2 linked regions of the Xenopus tropicalis genome follow. The main gene of each other region encodes a partner of the protein of the gene in region 2 in a complex. Links are inferred from orthologs where the notes say so. Each region holds a gene or a part of one and is shown on either strand. Other genes may lie near its edges.

Region 1 (3,658 bases), on a different chromosome or scaffold from region 2:
CACTTGAGTTGCAGTGTATCACAAATGAAAAATTATTCACAAAGAGGACAAATTGTTTGCACTGAGTATTTTTCCCCACCAGCGTGTTTACATCATACTGGGCATGATTATATATATATTTCTTCTCCTAGAAAACAAGTTATTCATTTTACTCTTCCTTACCTCCCATTCCGTATCCCTTGAGTTTAACTATATTGCACTGACCAGTGCTAGAAATGTTAAATTAACCTGAAGTACCAGGTGCATCAAAGTTGCTGACAGCAGTTGTTCAGTAAGAATGCTCCAAATTCCGTATTTGAATGAATAACTCTCCAGCCCAGATGTCAGCCCTTGTTTTTAGGAGACTTTACTAATATGGCCATCTAAATATATTATTGTGCAATAAACTGAAGGTTTCATTAGATGTATTTATAAAAGTGCCATTAGTCTATGACTGGTATTAACAACTACATATTCTTCATTTCAGATCATCAAAACAGACACGCCAGGAGAAAAACTCGAATATCTTAAAGGTAGAAAATGCTTGCCAAATAAAATGCAGATGACTATTATATGACTTTTGGATTATTATTATGAATTGGAGATGTAAGAATATGGTGATGTTGCTCACTGCATATTATCTTTTTACAAATTCAAATGTATAAATATATACATATATGCAAAATACACAAGAGCCATGAATATCCTGTAAATGATATTCTTATAAACAATGCTTGGTGAAGATATCCGTTATAATGAGTGCTAAGTGATGTCATTTCTGCCACAAGACTCACTGAAACTTGTGTATTATAATAAATAACGTACCCCCTGTTGTAAAATATGAGAATATTAGAAGTCACCTCAGAGTTGGGCTTGTGCTTTTATATGGTTACAGAACTCCTTGGTGGCTTATAATATTCTTATATTTTACAATACAGGGTACATTATATACTGTATTAAATAAACCCCTGAAGAAATGCTCTCTAGTGGGCTGAAACATTGGTTCTTAGTATAATGCACTATGACGCATGTGTGTGTAAATGTTGCCACAACATTGGTATCATCATGTTGGCAACATGATAACAAAAAAGTATATATTTTTGACTAAAATATATAGATTATATAGAGTGTTCATGCACTGATTTATAACATGGGAGCTAAAGTTCACATGTTAAGTTGCAGATAGTAGCCAGTCAGCAATTTGTTTTGAGCTGTACAGTACAAGTTACAGAATGAAAGGAAAGACCTGATTAGTAGGGATGTAGCGAACATCGCCAAAAATGTTCGCGGACCCGTTCGCGGACTTTCGGCAAAACTCGCGAATATTCGCGAACTTTGCGAACCCCATAGACTTCAATGGGAAGGCGAACTTTAAAACCTAGAAAAGCCATTTCTGGCCAGAAAACTGATTTTAAAGTTGTTTAAAGGGTGCCACGACCTGGACAGTGGCATGCAGGAGGGGGATCAAGCAAAAATTTCTCTGAAAAATACTTTGTAAAAAAAACGGCAAAAAAAAACGCCAAAAAATAATGCCAAAAAAAAAAACGCGGCGAACCCAAAATGGCGAACATCGCCGAAAGTTCGCGAATTTGCGGACTTGCGAACACCCGATGTTCGCGCAAATTAGTTCGCCGGCGAACAGTTCGCTACATCTCTACTGATTAGTTGCTACTGACAACACCAGTTGAATCCAACTGGGTTTCTGTTCATTGAATATGACTACTGTTATCCATTCCCATCAGTACTTGCCTAGTAAAGCTTGCAATCTAAGTTTCCTACACATTGCAGGCAATTTTTTCAAGACCTTATTAACTTGTCCATATACTTTTAGAGTGAATATAAAACCATAAACCCTTACAAACAGAAGGAAAACATTCAAACTCCTTGCCAATAATCTTGTCAATGTAATTGTACCCAGTACCTTAACTCTAACCACTGCACCACTATGCCCGCCAATCGCCCATCTTACCCTACTAACCAACATTATCAGTGCAATAGATACATTGTTTTTCTAAAAAAAAAAGTTCCCATTGTTAACATTCTTTCAATGTGCTTATCATATATTTTTATTTATTTTTTAATGAGGGTGCAACTAAAACTTGACTAAGTTGACAAAACACATGCTAAAACCACTCCTACTGATGGGTAATATAAAAATATTGTCGTATTGGTTTAATCTGAATAATGAGTTACAAACAATTTATCATTGCTTTCTAGACTAGTGAAATAATTAGAAGAGCAGAGGGTATGGTTGGGAAGGTTAGTCAGTTTAAGTAAATAGGACCCTGCGGAGGATGCCGGAAGCAGTAAAACACAACACTTTGATGTGGGGGCTATTAATAAAACATAACAAAGAGCTTATCACTATAAGGATCTGGCGGTTTAAACATTTCCCTAAAAGCAAATGTATCTTGAGTGACCACAGGCACGGTGGCTATGGTGGGAGAGTTAAATATAGCATATTTGGCTTCATGGTAGCATACTGGGTGAGTGCTGTACCACCCTTGTAAGAATTTGAGTCAGAAAGGAGTGTTTAAGACAGATATTATACCTGTGTAATTGGCAGGTCAAAGTGAGAGATGAATTTGAGAAATGAAAGCTTTGAATTTGCTTGTGGTGAGCAAGCTCCTGTGATGTGCCCCAAGCAGATACTCCAGCACATCATGGCTTGCAGGCTATTGCACACAGTTGATCATGTCATTTATTTTTATTTCCAATGCTCAGCCTAGACTTAGGGGCTGATTTACTAATCAAAAAAAATGCGACAATTCGCGCAAGTCGTAACGCTACGAAAAAGTTGTGACAATTTGCGAAAAAGTCGTAATGGCTACGAAAAAGTCGCAACAATTTACGAAAAAATCGCAAAATACCGATCATTACGAAAAAAACGCATTCGGACGCTTTTCGGACGTTCGTGTATTAGTAAATGTGCCCCTTAGTATAGCACGCTTTACATGTAAGTCCTGTAGATGAACATTGATTATTATTTTTTTTACTTTTTTGGACTGAATGGCTGCCTACCACTATTCTGCCATACCAAACACACCAGTTGTACCAGTGCAGTGCAACAGTGCATAATATTTTAGTTACTTTTTATTTTTTTGGTGTTACTGTTCCTTTAATACAATAGTTTGAAAAACTGAACAAAACAATCATATGTTCCATTTTCAGTTATAGGTACTTGATACAACTAACAACGTAATTATATTTATGTGGCTATTCAATGAGTAGACAAAGTGTTGTGACCTGAAATGTATTGATAAGTTATGTTAATAAATATAACTCTGTTTTACACAGATCCAAATGTTTCCACAGACAAGCCTAAAGATAACGACAACCTACCAAAACAAGGTATTATTCGTTATGTAAATGATTTAAATAAATAGACCTGATTCCTCTTGTGCTGGGCATGCCTTTTTCACATCTTTATTAAAGGTTACTAGAGAGAAAAGTAAGAGTGAATCAGCAAGTAATAATAAAGTTGTACAGTGTTTAAGTCAAAGTTTGGAAAAACAAAGAAAAGAGAGCGTTCTCTAACTGTTAGATATAAAGAATGCGGCCTTCTGAAGTTCATGACAGTTATTCATCAGGCATAAGATATTAAAGATGTTAGATCTGTGAAATCAGTTAGCCAGTAAATGCTACCACATTCCATGGAGAACAGTTATTAATAAAACAA
Region 2 (3,758 bases):
TTTATACTGTCTGTTCAGGTGAACTAATCAAACCCCACCTACCTCAAACCGAGGGTAATAAAGGAATGCAACTTCTGGCAAACCTGCTGTAAGCCTTATAGTTCACCAAACTTTGTAATTTAGCACCAAAAACAGCAAATACTTTTGAAAGAAATAAACACAACAGTTAAACAACACAATGATTTTGAATAAAGTTAAGAAAATATACTTATCCCTTTTTTTTTTTTAATTGATAAGCAAGTTGTTTCAACAAGCCTGTTAGTAACCCTATGTTCCACCCCTCATAAATACAGTGCTACCAAACTCAGAACTGTATATATAGGGGCAGATACAGGCCTCTGTTATCCTTTTTGGATTACAAAGACCTGCAGAAATAAAGTTAGTGTGCAGAGCGGGTTGCAGAATGCAAAAAATACGTCAGATTGCATTCTTTTTTGCATTTTGCATCCTACCTTACACATAGTTATTGCATAGCTCCCAGCTGTCCCGATTTTCGCGGGACATTTCTGATTTTAACAGCCCACAGTCCCGGATTCTTACTGAAAAGTCCCTCATTTCACTTTGATCTCCTGCACTGAATGCTAAAAAAGATACAACGTTTCTCAAACTTAAATAAGTAGCTTTTGGAAGAGAGCCCAGAAAGATTAACAAGCAACACCTGTACTTAGATACAATTGTAACTAATAAGCTAAATAGGTCTCTTGGGGGAACTGAGACTTACAGATTAAAGGGCAATGTAATAACACATTAAACAAGACCCTAAAACCTTTAAAAATGTGTTCAAACTTTAAATAACCTGCCAAATTTTGTAAAAATAGCATTGGCATTTAGGGGATGTGGTCACAAAAATGGGCATGGCCAAACATTTTTTGTCATGCTACGCCCTGCATTTCTTTTTGTCCCTCTTTAAATTTTTCAAATGTTGGGAGGAATGGAAAATGAACCCTAGTGATCCCTGCTTACAAAAGTAAAACAATAAATGATAAAAGTTCAGCGATAATTTCCTTTTGTGATACAGGCAGCTTCAAAATACTATATATTTTTTCATGAATTACTCCGTAGTTATCATTAGGCTTCATGCCGTATAACTAATCAAGAGTTAAATTACAGGCTCACCAGACAGGAACCCTCCACCCTCTCTGCTCAGAGTTCCTCCTGTGTAATTCCCCAGTTTCACTTTCACAAACTGGTTCTGTATTTCTGGAATACAGCAGAGGGCGGGTCTGACCGTACAGACTGGGACACTGCACATATAACTGCTTTTATATTTGATATTCTAAGGGCTTTCCTTTGATACTCCTAAAGAAGGCATCTGTTCTGCTGAGCTAGCACTCCAGGGACAATTGTTCTACGGACTAAAACAAACCCAAGGATTCGTAGCTGATATCATTTTGTAATTGCTGCCTTTGTATTGCAGTCTCTGCTGGAAAATGAGATTTCTGCTGCTTTTTCTGCTATTGCTTCTGAGCTGCAGCCACAAGGTAAGAGAAGATTGGAATACTAAAAACAAACCAAAATGAACTAAAATTGTTAGTCTCAGAAGTCAGAACAGTGTGTGTTTTTGTGAACTCTCTGTCAGTTATTCTCTTGCGCACAAAAGCAGAGTCACATCTTTCTACAGTCTGTGTTTTACTACTGTTTACTTTCACTTTGTACAAATAAGCATTATTAGTCTGGAATGGTGTTCCTACTACCACTATACGTTTTCCAGAACATAAGAGATAAAAAATGTGTAGGTTTTTATATTTGATAAATATGATCACTGTACATGGTGGTGGTTAGCTGAAACAGGAAAGTATTCTGCAGATCGCCCATGGGGAACAAAAAGATAGAATGGGGAACTATGAGAGTCTCTCTATAAACAGTTCCCTAAGACTACTAGCACACTAGCAAATATGGCATAAATACTGAAATCATCTGTGAAAAGTGCTGCTTCACAGAAAATACCATTAGTTTAAAGCATGCAGTGAAGGTATGTAAGCCTCTGGTTTTATATATCCTGAACACATACAGAGAGAAATAAAGCTCCCTTAATCGCCGATGGGATGGCATATGCGGCATATGCGCCGCGTATGATATCCCACCGGCGATTTACATTCTCGCCGGTGGGATGTCATATACAAGGGAGATTTGTTGTGGGCGACTAATCTCCCTGTGTGCCACAGCTCTAAAGGGTTTAATTTATCCTAAATGTAGTTTTAGTTTCAATCATTTTTATTGGGATTTTTTTAAACATTATAGCCAAATAAAGGCATTAAAACTAAATGTAGTTTTAAAGCTTCTGTAAACAGCAGTATTCTGAGACAATTAACAGATACACTTTTTATTTTATATCCTTATATGTTCTGCAGCTTTTAAGCTTGAAAATTTGATTGCTAGCTGTTTGCTAGGGATTAATTACAACAGCAACCAGGCAGCAACAGGAAATGAAAGATCAGTAAGCAAGGAACCAAACAGAAAGCTAAAGTAATAATAATAATAATAATAAAGTATAAGCCTTTTAGAGGGTCTGTTTTATGGTTGCCTGGGTTAGCAACAACCAGATAGCATTTGCAGTAGCAGACTGGAGAGAAACAAAATTGAAAAGCTAATAAAAATAAAGACTAATGTAAGTTTCATATATAAAATACAGCATTGGCCGGGCACATTCCCTTAAACAATATGTGGTTTATCTCAGAACTAATGAAGTTAATAGTAATGAAGAGGAAAGTGGTTAAAAAAATGAGGGGACAGACACTTATTTTAAAACAAGCAAAATTTAATCCTAAAAATATATTAAAAACAGTAGTAAAAAGAATGGTTTGGGTATGTGACTCCATAAAACACGGAAATAATTTGATTATAAGGGGTTGTGAAAAGAAAATGTGCCAATTTAGTTCTTTTCTTCAATGTATGCAACTGGGGAGTCAGATTTTCAGGACCCACTCTCTGGTGGCACAAATGAAGTGAGTGACCAATACACAATATGGTAAACACAGCATTTAGGCAGGTTTAATTCTGACAAACCTGCCTAAATTCCAGCATTTCTTTAAAGTGCTTTAATTATCTCTCTTTAAAGGACCAGCAACACAGAGTTTTTACAGTTTGCGGTCCTGGCATTGGACCTGGTTATTAAAAAAAACCCCCAATATGGGTTTCCCGAACTCTGCATGTGGTATGGGACTACATCTTTTACTTTTGTCATTCAGCCATTAGTTGTACCAGCTTTATAAATGAGGTAAGCCCCCTAACTATTGCTTTCCAGCAGTTATAGTGGTGAAAGCTTATTTCATATGTGTAAATAAAAACTCTGTTTGTAAAAAGAATTTTTTTTAAACACATTTAGCACTTATGGTTGTTTTTGGGTTGTATTTGAACACACAATTGCAAAATATCTAATACTTGTGTGTTAAATAAAGCCTAATGGCTAGAAATGTTGCTAATGTGGTGCCGTTATTTAAAAAGGGATCCCGTTCTCAGCCTGAAAACTATAGGCCTGTTAGTCTAACATCAGTAGTAGGAAAACCTTTGGAATGGGTAATAAGGGATAGGGTACTTGAATACATTGCAGTTCACAATACTATAAGTTTGTGCCATTATGGTTTTATGCGTAACAGATCTTGCCAGACTAATTTAGTCGCCTTTTATGAGGAGGTGAGTAGGAACCTCGATGCTGGAATGGCAGTTGATGTAATCTACTTGGACTTTGCTAAAGCATTTGATACTGTACCTCACAGAAGGTTTAATGATCAAATTGAGGAATATTGGCCTAGAACATA

The links. The genes of interacting proteins can lie anywhere in the genome.
Region 1: the proteins of cd40 (region 2) and cd40lg are in contact, whole or in part, in a crystal structure (PDB 3QD6), measured with the Homo sapiens proteins. The link is inferred for Xenopus tropicalis from reciprocal best matches to the Homo sapiens genes CD40 and CD40LG. Residues at the interface, in NP_001241.1 of Homo sapiens: Glu64, Ser65, Glu66, His76, Cys77, Gln79, Tyr82, Asp84, Asn86, Leu87, Trp109, Cys119; in NP_000065.1 of Homo sapiens: Ile127, Glu129, Ala130, Lys143, Gly144, Tyr145, Tyr146, Cys178, Pro217, Cys218, Gln220, Ser245, Gln246, Ser248, His249, Gly250, Thr251, Gly252.

The regions. Positions count from the first base shown.
Region 1 is NC_030684.2:69,119,081-69,122,738, forward strand, and holds part of cd40lg (CD40 ligand), read left to right. Parts: intron 1-466; coding exon 467-512; intron 513-3,276; coding exon 3,277-3,330; intron 3,331-3,658. UniProt on the Homo sapiens protein: Cytokine that acts as a ligand to CD40/TNFRSF5. Costimulates T-cell proliferation and cytokine production.
Region 2 is NC_030686.2:20,127,586-20,131,343, forward strand, and holds the start of cd40 (tumor necrosis factor receptor superfamily member 5 precursor), read left to right. Parts: upstream 1-1,430; coding exon 1,431-1,481; intron 1,482-3,758.